Linked DNA regions of Caenorhabditis elegans. The protein of the gene in region 2 purifies or fractionates together with the protein of the main gene of each other region. This does not show direct contact. Each region holds a gene or a part of one and is shown on either strand. Other genes may lie near its edges.

Region 1 (10,210 bases), on a different chromosome or scaffold from region 2:
GGAGTGTATGACGACGATGACGACGTCGTCGTCGTCGGACGCCTCATCGATTCAGAGTGTGTGCTCTGCTGGCGGCGGCGACGGCGGCTCTGTGTGTGTGTGCAGCAATAGCCCGTGTGCTGCTGAAGGGAGAGGCTCCAGGCCGTGAGAGGACCCTAGAAAGATTGAAGAGGTGACAGACACAATGAGAAACTTTGTGCTCTTGTAACGTCTGCGTCGTCTTCTCACAAAAAAAGGAAAAGTCTTCTTCTTCTTCTTCTTCTTCTTCTTCTTTGCTCAAAAAGGAGAAGACGTTGAAAAGATAGAAGGCGTCCCCCCTCCCATGTATTACACATGAGTGTCTTGTTTTTTTATTTATTTTCGGATGGATTGGGGGGAGGGGGGTGTTAGTTAGCCTAAATGCATTCGCATACACACACACACACATTCAGAACAAAATAAATCTTTTGTAACGACTTAATGTAATGAGGACCTCAGTTGACTAACCCCATACTTATATCTTTAAATGGGTTCTGTGGATGAATATGGTCTTTAAAATCAACATTATGGATCCGATATACACGGTATACGCCAATATATGGGTCACAAGTCAGCACATTGGATTTTGAAAAGTAATACTTGTCTTCGTCTCTAGCTGAATTTGAATCCAACTACAGTGCTGGCCATAAAGGTATGTACAAACGGTTTTTTCATGAATATCGGGTGGTGTTTAATTAAGCATAACTCAAAACTGAACATTTTTTTCGAAAACGGTCAACTAACAAAACGTTGGTCATTATGTTGTTTGCATTATCTGATAAGTATTATTTTACATAACTACCTTGATGGACTATTGTTAGTATCCCAAAACACATTCTAAAACTGAATGGCTTTCACTGATTTGTGGGAATTTTCCCGATTTCTAGATTTGATCAATGAGTCATGAGACAAAAGGACGGAGAACAAACAATACTATAATACTATATACGATCCCAATTTCTTTTTCACACACACATACTTTTCACAGAAACAAAACCTTTTACAGAAAATAGATGATACTTGTGCAAAATGAGACGTTTTGACAGAAATCGGGAGTCAAATGAGATATGAGTGTCTGCTTTCCCATAATATAATTAGGCACTGGAAAAGAGACAAGAAGAGAGAGAGAGAGAAAAGAGTTCTTAAGGAGACTTCTACCGTTGTAGTTTTTGAATTAAAAAACGACTTTTTTTCTTTTTCACTTATTAGTGATTTTGAACAACTTCAGAACATAAATTTTTTTTGACCACAAAAAAAGGGCGAAACCAAAATGTTGAAACTCTTCTAAAATGGTTAATTTTATAGCTAGGCGACTCAAAATTTATCTCCAAACAATAAAAAATTGCCTTTTTTCAGAATATAGTGGTTTTGCACACTTTGAGAAAAATTATTTTTTTGCCCAAAATAAAAGAAAAAGGACAGTCATTAGATGGCCGAAAAAAAATTTTCAGAAAATCTAGGTATAACCCATCAAAAACTATTAAAAAATGGCAAAAATGGGCAATTTATGGCAAAAATTCACAACTTTGAAACACATCTAAAATGGGCAATTTTGAAGTTAGATGACTCTAAATTGATCTATAAAGACTAAAAAATTGTCCATTATCAGAATATAGTGGCTTTGAACATTTTCAGAAAACTTTTTTTTTTGCCCAAAATAAAAAAAGGACAGTCATTAGATGGCTGAAAAAAAATTGGGCAAAAATCAAAAGGTGAAAACGGGTAATTCATACACGCTGAATTCAGAAAATCTAGGTTTAACCCAAAAAAAAACTATTTAAAAGTGCCAAAAATGGTCAAAGCTTTTATTTTCCGATACAAAATTTGCTAAAAATTCCATCTAGAACACTTTCAGTGACAATTCCCTCGGTGAGCTCTCCGATTTGTTCCAAGGCAACTTCCAGATGTGAACACATGATTGCTGCGTCGTTACACGTTACAGCTGACTCCAATTCGAATGAGCATCTTCTGAAATTAAAACAACTTTGAATATTATTTTTTGACAAAAAAAAACCTTAACAGATCTGCATCTAGTAAATAACTTGCTTCAGGACACAGATCATCTACAATTTCTCCCAAACAGTTTTGAAGTTGTTTGCAGCCAGTATCTGTGGTAGCATTTGTAGATACAGTAGTGAAATTTGAGGGAAGTTTTGGATACTTCAGACTCAGATCAGACTTATTCTTTGCAATAATCACACGAGCTTCGCGATTTCGCATCACTTCCACGTCATTCAAAATCGATTCAACATCGTCATCCGACGTGAATTGTGGATCCACGACAACGCAGATAATGTCAGCTGATTGGATTCGTTTTTGAGCACGTCGAATACCTTCTGCCTCAATGACGTCATTAGTTTTTTGTCGAACTCCAGCAGTGTCTGTGAGACGGCATCGAACTCCGTTAATTTGAATGATTGTCTGTAAGATTTTCAATTAATGTTTGGAACATTTTCCAGGCACTCTAGGAGTACTGTAGGATTACCGTAGTTTTCGAAAAATTGACTTTTCGTCTTTTGAGCTACAAAATTGCCCGTTTTAGAGAAGATTCAAAATTGTGAATTTTTGCTATAAATTGGCCATTTTTGCCACTTTTTAATAGTTTTTGACGGGTTAAACCTAGATTTTCTGAATTCAACATACATAAATTACCCGTTTTCAACAAATTTAGACAACTTTTTATTTTTGCCCAAATTATTTTCAGCCATCTAATGACTGTCCTTTTTTTTTATTTTGGGCAAAAAAATAATTTTTCTGAAAATGTTTAAAACTACTATATTCTGAAAAAGGTCAATTTTTTTATAATCCTAAATCAATTTTGAGTCCTCTAGCTACAAAATTGCCCATTTTAGAGAAGATTCAAAATTGTGAATTTTTGCCATAAATCTGCCATTTTTGCCACTTTTTAAAAGTTTTTGACGGGTTAAACCTAGATTTTCTGAATTCAACATACATAAATTACCCGTTTTCAACAAATTTAGACAACTTTTTATTTTTGCCCAAACTATTTTCAGCCATCTAATGACTATCCTTTTTTTATTTTGGGCAAAAAAATAATTTCCCTAAAAATGTTCAAAACTATTATATTCTTAAAAAGGAAAATTTTTTTAATGTTTGCAGATCAATTTTGAGTCCTCTAGCTACAAAATTGCCCATTTTAGAAGAGTTTCAAAATTGTGAATTTTTACAAAAAATTGGAATTTTTGCCACTTTTTAAATTTCAAAATTGTGTGTTTTAGAGGAGTTTCAAAATTGATTGTTCAAGGGAACGTGGCTAGGGTACTGTAGTAGTACTGTAGGGAATACTGTAGGATTACTGTAGGGTTACTGTAGTTGGAGAAAAACTGGTTTTTCGTATTTTGAAGGGTTATTAGTTTGGTGTTAATAGGGGGATATGATTGGAGTACTGTAGTAGTATTGTAGGGAATACTGTAGGATTACTGTAGTTTTGGAAAAACTGATTTTAGTTTCAGAAAAAAAAATCGCAAAAGAAAATTTGATTGAAATTTTTTGGTTAATTTTTGAAAAATTTGAAAAATTTTAACACTTCAATAGGTTTATATGATCATTTTTACTTCCAAACTATCTCTCGTGGTTCCAGGAATCGAGCTAACAATTGCCACGTCATCATGCGCTAACTGATTTAAAATGCTTGATTTTCCGGAATTCGGTCTTCCATAGAGCACAATATCCAATCCACGTTGAGCCCGTTCTGCACCATCCCACGCTTTGATCATTCGATTGAGTTCATGAAGAATTTCAGAGACATCTTGTTGAGCTTCGCGTAATTCCAAGTTCACGTGTTCTCCAAAATCAATGATCACAAATAGTTTCGATAGAATTTGAATTAATTGCTTCCTGAAATTGAGAGTAAATGTCAGGGGTATGCGGCACGAAGTTTTTGTCGACAAATTCAGCAAATTGGCAAATTGCCGGTTTGCCGAAAATTTCAATTCCGGCAATTTTCCGATTTGCCGGAAATTTCCAATTCCGGCAAATTGTCGATTTATCGGTAATTTCAATTCCGGCAAGTTGCCGATTTCCCGGAAATTTCCATTCCAGAAATTTGTCGATTTGCCGGAAATTTCAATTCCAGCAATTTGCCGATTTGCCGGAAATTTCAATTCCAGCAATTTGCCGATTTGCCGGAAATTTCAATTCCAGCAATTTGCCGATTTGCCGGAAATTTCAATTCCAGCAATTTGCCGATTTGCCGGAAATTTCAATTCCAGCAATTTGCCGATTTGCCGGAAATTTCAATTCCAGCAATTTGCCGATTTGCCGGAAATTTCAATTCCAGCAATTTGCCGATTTGCCGGAAATTTCAATTCCAGCAATTTGCCGATTTGCCGGAAATTTCAATTCCAGCAATTTGCCGATTTGTCGGAAATTTCAATTCCAGCAATTTGCCGATTTGCCGGAAATTTCAATTCCAGCAATTTGCCGATTTGCCGGAAATTTCAATTCCAGCAATTTGCCGATTTGCCGGAAATTTCAATTCCAGCAATTTGCCGATTTGCCGGAAATTTCAATTCCAGCAATTTGCCGATTTGCCGGAAATTTCAATTCCAGCAATTTGCCGATTTGCCGGAAATTTCAATTCCAGCAATTTGCCGATTTGCCGGAAATTTCAATTCCAGCAATTTTCTGATTCGCCGGAAGTTTTCAATACCGACAAATTGTCGATTTGCCGGACATTTCTATTCCGGCAATTTGAAAAAATGTATTATTGAAAAGCTCGTACGATATCATAAGTTTTAATGAAATTTTTAAAAATCCCTATAAATCTTTTTTTTTCCTTTTTTTTTTAAGTTTTTTTTTCCAAAAATTCCAAATCTCGAGGGATTTTTTTGTTTTTTCAAATTGCTTGCGAACAATATAAAATTCCAATTTTTCTCACTTCAATACCTTATTTCAATAGCTCGAACTCCACCACGCATTTGACCAAATGCCGCATTTCGTTCTTTTTCGGTTCGAGATTTAATTAGCCGATCGATTCCTCGAACCTCGGAAATGCTCAATTTTCCGTTGTGAAATGCTCTGTAAATTAACTAAGAGTTATTATAGAGACCCAAAATGTGCATTTAAATGCATTCAAAATATTTTGAAACAGATGTGCAAGCGCGCTCAACTGCGGAAAGTTTGGAATTTTTATTCGGCGGCAAAACCAAAAACTCTAATGTTATTTTGTTTTCATGGTTAAATGAAAAATTAAAGCACTTTTGGACATTTTTTCAACATAAAATTAATTAATAAACGACAGGAAACATAACAAAAATAACGAAAACTTATTGAAAACGTTCGAAATTACGGTTTTGCAGCAGCCAAAACCTAGCGAGACCCAACTTTTAGCCGTGGAGCGCGTTTTAACCAGGGGTGGACGGCAAACAATTTTTCCGGCAAATTGGCAAATCGGCAAATCAGCAAATTGTCGGAATTGAAATTTCCGGCAAATCGGCAAATTGCCGGAATCGCCGAATTTGTCGAAAAAAATTTGCCGAACGGCAATTGCTGCCCATCCCTGGTTTGAACCCCGATTTTTGAAAATCGTATGCTAATAATAACCTCCTCGTGAATTCTCCTCGCTTCGCTTCTCGAACATTTTGAATTCCAGCCAAACATGAGGCAAACTTCACGGCCACGGCCTGACTTCCATGTAGAAAAAACTCGGCTGTGTCTTCTCCGGTAAACGTTTTCGGGCCGGGAAGATATACCGCCATTGCTTCATCGATGATTTTGCTCTCTGAATCGTACAATTTCGTGTATTTCATCGTTTTCGGCTTCCAAACTTTTCGACGGCTCAGCTGGCGGAGTACGGGGAGGCTTTGTGATCCTGGAAAAAATACTGTGAATACTGTGAACAGTAAGCTCAGAAAGCCTTTTTTTGGGGGGGGGGGGGGTTTCGCAAGAGCATCGTACGAATTTTTTCAGAGATTTTTATATTGTTTATGGCTATTTTGGCAGAAATTTTTTCAAAATGAACCATTCGTAACCTAATGGAATTTTTTTTTTCAATTGTTCTGAAAATTAACCTGAAACGCGGAACATCGCAATTGCGCTTGGCAATGTGCCAGACGATAGGGCGAAGATTGTCGACATTTTCTAAATGCCTGAAAAAATTATTCTTTTCCAATTAAAAAAAAATTTGATTACTCGAAAGGTTCTTTTTTTTAATTTCAAAATTTTCACGATCTTAAAAAAATGTTTGAAAATTTAATAAAAAACAGGATCCGTGACAATTTTTCTGGAAAGAAACCGAGATTTTATGAATATATAACTTAAATTTGAGAGAAAAAAGTTATTTATTAAGCATTCAAAAAAAACCCCGTAATTCGATATAATTCAAAACTAAAACAATTAATTATTAATTACACAAAATCTTAATTTCAATTGCTCTTCACATTTCTTCAAATCAGGAATAATCCATTTCGAATCACTCAAATACTTTAAAATCGTTGGTGGCAGAGGAGCTGTTTTGGGTGTCGGTGGTTTTTGTTGACTCGTTTTCAGGGTAAATCGACAGAGGTACTGTAGTGATGGTAGAAGCTCTCGTTTTGTGAGTGGACGTGTTAAATTGACACGCGCTGCTTCGGCTTCATGTCCACGTCGATAGTGGAGCATTTCTTGTTGTCCTGTTAGGGATTGCTGAAAAAAGTTTAGTGTTTTTTTCCGAAAAACTACGATTTTTTTTGATTTTTGAAACATTAAATTATTTTTTTGCTTGAAAAACTCAGTTTTTTTCGGATTTTTGAAAAAAAAACTAATTTCTGAAAAAACTGAACTATTTTCTTTCGGGAATGTGGTTTTTTTTGTGAACAAAAATGGTGATTTTTTAATTTTTTTCTGCAAAAAAGTGAATTTTTTTTAGAACAATCGATTATTTTTCTCGTGATTTTTTTTTGGTTTTTCGAAAAAAAAAGGATTTTTTCTCGATTTTATGAAAAAAAATGGTTGTATTGTGTTTGATTTGTTTTTCAATTTTAATTTTTAAAATTATGTTCCGAAAAATTTTTTTTTGATTAATACTCTTTTTTAATTTCTAATTTTGAGAAAAAAAGGACATACTTTCGGAAAATTTGAATTTTTTTAGTTTTCGAATTTTTTAAAAAGAAAAATAATTATTTTCACTTAAAAAAAATAGTTTTTTTCCGTTTTTCGGAAAAATAATTTGCTTTTAAAAAAATATATTTTCGATTTCCGGAAACATTTTGGGAAAATTTCGATTTTTTTTAACTCTTCGAAAAATATTTTCGACCTTTTTGGCCTGTCACAATTTTTTTTTAAAGTTTTACTCTTTTCCGATTTTTTTAAAATCAAAAATCATAGATATTTTTAAATGTACTACATACCTCTAAACTTCTCTCAATAATTTCCACAAGATTCCAATAGTCACGTGAGACGTATGGCTGCCGACTACCCAAATTCCGTCGTGAATCTTCAAGTGACAAGCGCGAATGATAGACTCTATCTGAAATTATATTTATTTGGAAAAAATTGATTTTTTGAAAAACAATACCTTGAAAATGATAAGAAACAGTGAAAAGATGAGTTTCACTTCGACTGTCTCGAATTAAAAAATATCCGATTGGGCACAAAAGGAGCAGCCGTTCTGCCCATTTCCAGTCCAAATCTCCCCAATACCTGGAATAAAATAGGCATATTTAAATCTTTTTTCAGTTATTTTATTGTTTACCAATCACAATCGTAAAGATCAGAACAAATCACCTTGTTGGAGGGCATAGGAGCATTGAAGGAAACTTTTGTTACTGAAAATAGTTTCAATCTTAACAAAATTAATTGAATTTTAAAATTGAAGATTGTCGATTTACGGAAGTCGTGTACTCCACGAGGAGAAGATTATGATCCGATTCTTTCCGAATTTAATGTTCAAATCGCAATTATATCTCTTTTTCAAAAAACCGTCGCTGTTTCCAGGCGTGGGCGCCATATATTATTAAATCAGCAATTATTTTGCATGAAAATGGAAATTCCCGGCAAATCGGCAAATTGCCGTAATTGAAAGATTCCGGCATATCGGCCAATCGACAAATTTGTTTGAATTTAAAAAAGAAGCCAAAATCCAAAATTTAAGCAAAACATGCAATTTTGACCAAAACCATTGATTTTTCACTTATCCTCGGGGAGTACACGAGCTGCGTAAATCGACATTGTACAGTGTTAGGGGTCGAGATATTGAAAGATTTTTAATCTTTAAATTGAAAAAAAGATTGAAAAAGAATAAGAAAAATAAAATTTTATGAAAATTTTGAAGTAAAAAACTATAAACAATAATAAATATATGTACATAACCGTAATCAGTGAGATTTTTCAAATATATGATGGTAAATTGTAAAAAACTAGGTAAATTATGAAAAAAAATTAATGAGGTTGCTGTTGGTGTTGATGGTGATGCTGTTGTTGCTGTTGCATGTACTGTTGATGTTGCTGATGTTGTTGAAGTTGTTGCATGTAGAGATATTGCTGTTGAGGAGTCATGTTTTGCATCTGGAAATTTTTTTTGGAATTCGAGGATTTTTGGAAAAAATTTTTTTTTCGGAAATTGTGTTTTATTTTTGCAAAATACATCGAAACCCCTTTTTTGAAGTTTTAGGAAATTTAGCTTTTTTTTTGGAATTCTTTGATTTTTTTTCGGAAAAAAAATTGAAAACCATTTTTTTTTAATGTTTAGGAAATTTTGGAATTTTTTTTGGAATTCTTTGATTTTTTTTCGGACAAAATTGAAAACCTTTTTTTAATTTTCAGGAAATTTTGGATTTTTTTTTGGAATTCTTTGATTTTTTTTTTGGAAAAAATCGATTTAAATTCGAAAAATTCAATTTTATTGAATATTCTTTTAAAAATGCGGGGTAGAAAAAGAAATTTACCGAAACTTTTGAAAATTTGGTTTTTTAAAGCTTATGGAATTTCAGATTTTTCAGATGTTCTGTAAGATTGGAATTTTTTTTTGGGAATTTCTAAAAGTTGGAGAAAACTTTCAATTTGTTTTTGTTGGAAATTTCGAAAATTTTGAAGTTCTCAAAACTTTTGGGAATGTTTAGAACCTTTTTTTTATTTTTGGAATTTTCGAAAAAATTTTGAATCTATCAAGTGATTTTAAAAATTATTTTTTTCGAAATTTTCCAAATGTTTACCATAGGATTCATTGTATGCATAGGTGCCGGCATTTGCTGATGATGTGGAAGATGTGGGTGCTGTTGCATATGATGTCCCATTCCATATTGCATTGGGACATGTCCCACAGGTCCAGATGGATGATGAAAAACTGCACCAGGATATTGAGGTCCCATTTGTTGATGCATCGACATATTCGGAATTTGATGTTGAAGTTGTTGTTGAGTAGGATGATTTGATTGTTGTTGAATTGTCTGATGTTGTGATGTATCCATCATTTGATGTGTAGATGTATGATGTTGTAGATGATGTTGAAGTGAGGATGAATGTTGTTGTGGTGGAGGCATCATTTGATGTGATGGTAGTAGTGGTGCTTGTTGTAGATGATGTTGCATTTGCGGTAGTGAGGAAACGGAAGGTGTTGATTCGAGAGGTTGGTGAGCCTAGAAATTTGATTTGAGAAATAGTGATTTTTGACCCAAAATCGAGTGTATTGACCAGAAGTGTGCGGATATTAGCCGATTTAGCCGAATTCGCGGAATGGCTGATTCGGCTAATATTAGGTGATTTATCCGTTAGCCGCGGTTTTTTACCAATTAACCGAATTAGCCGACTTTTTGGCAGTACGGCTAATTTGAAGTTATCCGGTAGCCAATTTTGAAAATTTTGCTCAATAGTTATTATTTTCTTGTGATACATTTTTTCCATAATAACTACATCAATACTTATTGATAAATTCATTATTAGAAATTACCTGGTTACACTCGATTTTAAATACACTTGAAATCACTACTAATAGTTATGGTCTTGCTTCAAGACTAAAAAAACTGTAAACTTTCAGAAAAAAAAAATGACAGAATTAAAACGAGTATTACTTTGACATGTTGCTCTTGTTCCTGCTCCTTCTCTTTTTCCGGTGATTTTTCCTTTTCCGGTGGTGTTTCCTGCTCTGCAGTTGGTTCTGATTGAGACACATAGAACTTGAGACGATCTCTCATTTTTTCGGGAAGCTTTGCGAATTCAGTGATCGCCGTATTCCTCAAAAAGTCTCCGGCGAAGA
Region 2 (7,369 bases):
TCAGTTTGGTTGATGTATAGCCAGCTGAAAACATTATTATTGTAATCCTACAGTACCGCTACCGTACCCCTAGCCTGCCCCAATCATAACGTACCGTGTCCCTACCGTATCCCTACCGTATTCTTATCGTACAGTGTCCTTACCGTAACTCTGCCGTCTCCCTACCGTATCCCTCTCGTACACCAGTTATACCACACCGTGTCCCTACTGCATCCGTTTTGTACCGCGCCGATACTGTACCTCTACCGTACCCTACCATATTGTTCCCGTATCTCGCGGTACCCCAACCGTACCTCACCATACCTTTAATGTACCACCACCGTACCTTATCCTACCGTATTCTACCGTACCCCAACAGTACCCCAACAGTGCCATATGATGTCTGCCTAAGACCCCACCGTACACCTATCATACCCCTAATCATAAAGCACCTATATTGTATGTTACCGTACCTCGACAGTACCCCTATCGCAAAACTACCGTACTCCTAACATACTCTTACCGTACCCTTACCGTATCCTGTCGTACCCCTCCCGTACACCTCACCGTACCCTCACTTACAAATTGATGCGATCTCCATAAACATTATTCAGCGAAATCATTCGAAGCCCATCATAGATCTTCTTCATGTAGCATCCGTTACTGAAATTGAGATGCTTACAATTTTTTTCCCAAACTCTTCAAAAAACCCAACTATTCCAAACTCTTCTCCTGATCCGCTGGAATCCATCCCTGCCAGGCGTTTGACATGGCCTTGTAGAGCCAATCCATATGATACTTCTTCGGTGTGAAATGTGGTGCAATACTGTAAAAATGGTCGTGAGTGATAAACATAGAATACAAGTTCACCCACTTATCAACAGGAACTCCTTCATGATTCCCGACTGCAAAGTAGACCGGAGTTTTTGGGAAATACGAGCGAATCGTATCCGACAAGTTTTTTACCATAAACGAGTGGGTTTCCGGAGTGTACGCCCAAACTGTATGGGACACAAGGTCTCCGGATACCATAATGTAGTCCAGTTTTCCAGCGGTACTTGCGATGTTTTGGAGCATGTTCGTGAGAAGCCAATAAGGTGTGTCGCACGAACCAACACTTCCCCAAGGTCCAGCAGGTTGTTTGACATCTCCGTTTTCAACGATTTCCTGAAAAAAGTTAAGGGTTTATACGTGCCTACGTGAGGATCGCGCCGATCAATCAGCGACAAGAGCCACGCCCTTTGTGCATCGCTGATTGGTCGGCGGCCTCTTCAATTACGCGCGAAGTCAAATTTTTGAAATGCTTCTGACAAGTACTTGTTTTCTAGCGTTACATAGTCATATTTGTTAAAAGTGCAGAGTTCTGTAGAGGTTCTGTTAAGTATTTCTTCATTCAAAAATTTCAAATAGAAACCCCCCAACTTCGGGGGCTTCTCCTTCCCATCTCAACTTCCTTATCAAATAAATATTTTTCAGCAACCTTTGTGATCGTTGCTCTTTCTCCCTCTTTCTCAACAATTTTCCAAATTAAACACCATACCACATTCATATCTTGTGGTCGACAACATTGCGGAGTTCCACAGTCTGCCTCGAGCCCGACCGTGTAGAACATGTCAACATGAAGGTCGGTCAAGTGAAGTGCTCGCAGAGTTGGGTTGCCTGGCTGAAAATTGGAGGTTTTGTTGGTGTCGGGGTAGGCGCCTGTTTATGCCTACGTGCAAACCTACCACTTATCTAGTGGCATTCGGAAAATTTGGCAGTAGACAGTAGTAGGCAGGCATAGGTAGGCATACCTTTTTTGTCAAAAAAAAAACCTACCGGAACAACTTGTTTCGGCACGAATGGTGGCTGATTTCCAGGAATCGTCATGTTCCAAATTGTCGCCAATGGATCCACGAAGTCTCCGCAGTCTGAAATAATTCCAAATAGGCATGCAATCGTGCCTACCTACGCGCCTACATGCGTGACTAGCCTGAAAGATAGTGATCAGCTTGGCAGTCTACTAGAATCTTCTCAAGCCGCCCCGCACCCCATGTTCTATTAGGGCGGCGGGTCACTGTTACGCGTCGGTCTGGTAGTAGGCATGTAGGTAGGCATGTTTGTGCCTAGGCATGGTAGTACTTACCATTTTTCATAAGCAATCCGCAAAGTTGATGTGGAGTCACGAGAATTTGCTTGATGACATACATGAATTCGTCCTGAAATCTTTGATTTTCAATACATTTTTAAAATTAAATTAAATATTAATGTGTCTCACTGAGAAATCCGAAATAATAAAGTTACAGACATCATTATCTTCAATATGGAACGTTTCACAAATAAAAACCGCAATTTCCATAACACATTCTTCAGTCTTCTTTTCTCCCCACTCAAATTGCAAAAGGTCCACAATTGACTTGCATTCCTCGCATTCTGTCACCGCGAGGGTGCCTGGAAAATTTTTTCCTGGAATTTAAACACAAAAATGTAAATCTAAAACTCTACCCTGAAATGCGAGAGAAAGGACGAGAAGACCTAGGAGCATCGGAGCCGTATCGTTTCTGATGTTAAACGGGAGCAGCGGCGGAGGGGGAGAAGCCGAGGTTTCCAGTAATAAAGATAAGAAATTTGGAGCGGGAGAAGCACATGGCGATGACACGTTGGGAATGCTCACTGATTTTTGAACGACTTATCAGGTATGGAGACTACAAGTTTTTTGGAAACTATAACTTTTTGGAGAGGAAAAGTTCAAATATAGAAATTTTTCTTGAAAATGCACCAAAAAATGTGAATAAAACCTTTTTTCTGGACAAAGTGCCTACGTGCCTGCCTACTGCCTATTTTAGGCACGAGGCAGGCGCAGGTCGCCTAGTAGGCAGCTATCATTTTTGTATCGGCGCGAAAATTTCAAGAGAAACTACAACAATGGCATGTTTTCCTGCAATGTTGAAATTTTATGCCTGCCTACCGCCTATTTTAGGAATGTGTGTAGAACGAGGCAGGTGTAGGTGGTTCTAGTGGCCTGCAGACTAACATTTTTCGTGAACTTGAAAATTAAAAAATAACATTTTAACTAGTTGGGCTTTCCTGCCTGCCTATGGGCCTATCTACTGTAGGCAAAAGGCAGGCGTAGGCCGTTTCAAAGGCGTGTAGAAATTTTCGTGCGAAACCGAAAAAAGTTATGCAATATTAAATTAATATATATCTTCAAAACCAGAATACGTTTTTTCTACCTCTCTACCGCATATTTCTCGCCTGAAGGCATAGGTCGCCTTGCAGGCAAGTGGCACATTTGTGCTTATGTACATTGGAAAGGTTAAGAAAATGTTTTTTTTTAATTTAAATAAAATAAATTACTCCAAAAAACTGCACCAAAAGTTCAATTTAAAAAAAACGTGAACTTCAAAAATACGAGAAGATTCTTATCACATCCCCTACCCCCACTCTGAATTTTTTCATTATTTTTGTATTTCGAAACTTTCGCGTTGCATCTTCTCCCATCATGAAGAAATTGTCCAAAAAAAGCTCGAGAAGAAAAGTTAAAAATATTAACGAAAAAGTAAGTTGTGATTTTCGAAATTTTCAATTTCCAGGCGTCTTCCAGAACTAATTAAATTTCAGAAAAAGAAATCTAAGGCACGCAGTCATAAAAAGCAACAACTTCAAAAGTCGAAGCAACATGGTAAAAATAAGAAGACAAAAACTAAGTCAACTAGTGGATCTTTGTCGGTGGATAAATCGAAAGAGTCGGAAAAGATGTTGATAGCAAGGAAAAATGATTCAAGAACGGTGAATTACAAGGAAAAAGCACCGGAAGCTGTAAAAGATCATGAGATTCCTAATGCAAATCGCAGTGAGTTCTAGTGTTTTTTTTTTGAAATTTTTTTGGAAACTTTTAAAGGGCTCAGGAAAGTTTTTTAAACGGTTCGGAAGTTTTAGAAACCTTTGGAAAATTTCTGGAAGATTCTGGAAAGTTTTTGGAACGTCTGATGACTTTGAAAAATTCCAAAAATTTTCAGAAGCTTCTGGGAGCATCTAGACATTTTTGAAAGCTTATGAAAAATTTTTAAAGCCTCTGGAAACTCTTGAAACATTTTTTATTCGAAAAAAAAAAATCAATTTGAAACATTGAAATCCACGACGTCCACGTGGAAGCAAAATTATTTAATGACGTATAAAAAAAATTCCAACAAAAAAATTGTGCTTGCCTGTTCATCTTCTGCCTTTAGGTAGACACTAAAATGCCTACCTACCTTAGTAGGTAGGTAGGCAGGCATCTTTGTACCTACCTGAAAATCCAAAACCCTAACACCTCCACAATTTCCTGTTTCAGTTCCCGGAACGACACGGCTCAACGAACCGAAAAACATCGAGGTCACGAATCACGAGGTGGATGATAAGACGACGGAGCGAGTCTATAAGAAGTTGAGGGAAAAGAAGAAGTCGGCGGCGAAACCGAAACCAATCGATGCGAAAAGCAAGCTTCTGATGGATCGAGTGCCGAAAAAACCATATCGATTGAAGAATAAGCCCGATGGTATGATGTTGTGCGACGAGCCATCCACTTTCTACCGTACCAACACTTCAAAGAAGAAACTGAAGACGTCTTTACTTCCCGTTGAGGATTCTTATGATCACGTTCGAAAATTGGAGGACATTAAGAAGGAACCAGAGCAAGATGTGTACAAGGGTCAGGACGTCCCCACCTGGGCAGTAAAAATAGAACCAACTGACGATGACATGGTGAGTTATCTTTTTGTGTAGGTCTCAGGAAAAATAATTTTAAAAAATTTCAGAAAGAGACCGACGAGGCGATCACTGTGAGTACCGATCATTTGGAGATGTACCGAAACAAGAAGCTCAGTCTCAAAAGCATTCCCCCCACGAAACTGGTGCTCAACGAGCTACAACCGTTGGTGGAGTTGAAGAAGAGAGATGAAGTTCACTTTGAGACCGGGCTGGTGTTCTCCAACACGATTCGGAGTCTGTTGCTTGTCCATGAGAGTGCTCGAGCGCTGAGTGATGGAAAAGTGGATGATGAGTATTCCGACAAGAAGGTCCAGTTTGATACACAGGAACCGGAAGCAACATACATCTACTCGGTGAGATATTCCCGGCTGGGGAACAGCTAATTGAAAATTTTCAGAGAATCAACCCAATCGAATCGGCCAAAGCCGCTCGTTCTGGAAAGTGACACGCCAGCACTTCTACCACCAATACAACCACATCGAATTAGAACTGAACTTGATTTTGCCTTGATTTTATAAATAAAGTGTGCGTTCAGGGCTTAATTTAAAAATTTTTATTAATTTTAATAAGGAAATGCGAGCAAAAAAGTGAAAAAGGTTTCAATTTTTGCAGTGGGAGTGGATAGAAAGTAAAACAATGAAATCATTATGTGATGAGCGAGGTAAGGAATAACAGAAGAAGGCAATAAATACAAGTTTTTGAAAAAAATTTAAGTGAGAGTGGAGTAAATAAAAATGATGATGGGAGCTTAGTTCTGGACTTGGGAGGGAAATTGGTACTTACATTAGTTAATTTAGGTAAAAACCTGAAATTTTAAATTCCGGCAATTTTCCCTTTGGCCGATTTGCCGGAAATTTTTAAAGGGATTTTTTAACAGACGGATGAATTTTTTCTGTTTTTTCTACATATTTTCATAGAGCTTACTTTTAAAAATAGATGTAGGAACATTTATACGATGCGTACAATTTTGTCATTTGAAATTGAAACTCTGAAATTTCCAAAAAAAAAGTGCGAAACCACAATTTGCCGAGAATTTTTTCCGGCATATTTTCTAATAGTATTGCATGCGATACTAATTTCCGGATACCTTTTCAGTGCAATACTATTAGAGACTGCAAGACTAATTTCTTTGGGTGCAATACTAATAGAGAACATACGGTAATCGAAAAGTGAAATTAATATGCATTTTTAGGTTTAAAAAACACTAATTCTAAGCCTAATATAGACAAAAAAAGGCACGTTATATTTTCAAAATGATTGACTTTCTTTGGCAGGTATACTACACAAGTTCCGGAAAATTAAAAAAAAACTTTGAACAATAGAGTTTGTAATAGGAACAGCTTGAAAAATAGATGCAAAATGTAAGTTTTTCAAGATAATTCAGGCTCGCCCATTACAACAAAATTTTGAATGAAATTTGTAGAGGAGCACGAGTTTAATAACAATGAGTACAAGCAGTTTCCCAATCATCAAACCCAATATAGAACTCATCATATTCTGGGGGACTGGGGGCCCATTTCCTCACAGTTCCCAATCTGCCGACCTCATCTTCAGTGATCATATGGCCGACTTCATTCACTAATTCTCTCGCCACCATCATTGAATTTATCCTGGAACCCATTGCTGTGGTCAAGAGGTTTGTAATGTTACGAACATCATCAATAGTTTTTCTTTGTCTATTTCCACAATCACATTTTCGGATTTGAATACATCTTTCAATAATTTCACCAATCCCACAATTCGCTCATCCATAGTTTCCTTGTTATATGTAAAAACAAGAGCCGAGCTTGTGAAGCATTTTTGGGTGGCAACGCTTTCCGGTAGATTCCAAATTTTCCTTAGTGATTCAATATCCTTCTTCAATTCAGGAGCAAAAGAAAGATGAGGAAAACCTGGTTCCTCACATACTGCAACAAATATTCGTTTTGACACAAATATTATCAAGTTAAGTTTATAAAGATGTGTAAACTGTCTGACAGCTATCTTGGAATTCTGAGAAGCCATCGATAAGGATAATCTGAAAATTGTTATATAGTTAGACAGAAAAAACAGTATGGAAACACAGGAAGAGTATTTGAAACTATTAGGGTGAGAAATAAGTTTGTGGTTTTTTCTTGCGATATTTTTTCAAACTTTTATATGGTAGTTATAGGAAACTATGATTTGTGTACATTCAAATGTTGTGAATCAAATTTCTCGCTTCCATGCTTCTTGGAGCCACTTCTTGAATTTCAATAATTTCCAACTTCGATCCTTCGGTCCATTTTTGAAAAAGTTTCTCAGTGACGTGTGATTCAACAGGGCAATGAAATTCGATCGATTTCCATTTATTCACCGAGCTAATGATACTGTCGTTTGCAACAAACGCTTCTTTCACCACTCCCATCAGTCGCTCAATTTTCTCGGTTTCGCCGAACAATTTTCGGAACGCTCCATCGATAGTGGTCTGCTTTCAAAGTTCACGCAAATTCGATCTGGATCCTCGACTCGAAACGTTTGAGCAATTTTATGGAACGTGTAATCTTCAAAGTTCTCAAAGAAATTGGAGGAGAATGTCAAACTGTACGCTGTTTGTCTGTTATTTTTGAATGATTCGAAGATTTCGTTGCAGTATCCTAATAATTTTTGGTTCTTGTCCATACATTGCTTTTCGCCTGAAAAT

The links. The genes of interacting proteins can lie anywhere in the genome.
Region 1: the proteins of W03G1.2 (region 2) and mtcu-1 fractionate together in Caenorhabditis elegans (co-fractionation; one large-scale study listed by BioGRID). This does not show direct contact.

The regions. Positions count from the first base shown.
Region 1 is NC_003279.8:14,768,880-14,779,089, forward strand, and holds mtcu-1 (TrmE-type G domain-containing protein), read right to left. Parts: upstream 6,129-10,210; 5' UTR 6,118-6,128; coding exon 6,051-6,117; intron 5,852-6,050; coding exon 5,584-5,851; intron 5,059-5,583; coding exon 4,927-5,058; intron 3,877-4,926; coding exon 3,594-3,876; intron 2,440-3,593; coding exon 2,033-2,439; intron 1,987-2,032; coding exon 1,824-1,986; 3' UTR 1,810-1,823; downstream 1-1,809. Other genes in the region: gpr-158 (G-protein coupled receptors family 3 profile domain-containing protein), read right to left, coding at 1-47; F39B2.5 (SH2 domain-containing protein), read right to left, coding at 6,376-6,663, 7,368-7,486, 7,535-7,659, 7,712-7,758; sur-2 (Mediator of RNA polymerase II transcription subunit 23), read right to left, coding at 8,398-8,523, 9,171-9,593, 10,026-10,210.
Region 2 is NC_003282.8:521,237-528,605, forward strand, and holds W03G1.2 (Ribosomal RNA-processing protein 8), read left to right. Parts: upstream 1-3,415; 5' UTR 3,416-3,460; coding exon 3,461-3,517; intron 3,518-3,579; coding exon 3,580-3,811; intron 3,812-4,291; coding exon 4,292-4,701; intron 4,702-4,754; coding exon 4,755-5,060; intron 5,061-5,104; coding exon 5,105-5,152; 3' UTR 5,153-5,255; downstream 5,256-7,369. Other genes in the region: Putative sphingomyelin phosphodiesterase asm-3, read right to left, coding at 1-24, 562-642, 695-805, 854-1,146, 1,520-1,642, 1,798-1,889, 2,105-2,177, 2,237-2,409 and 1 more.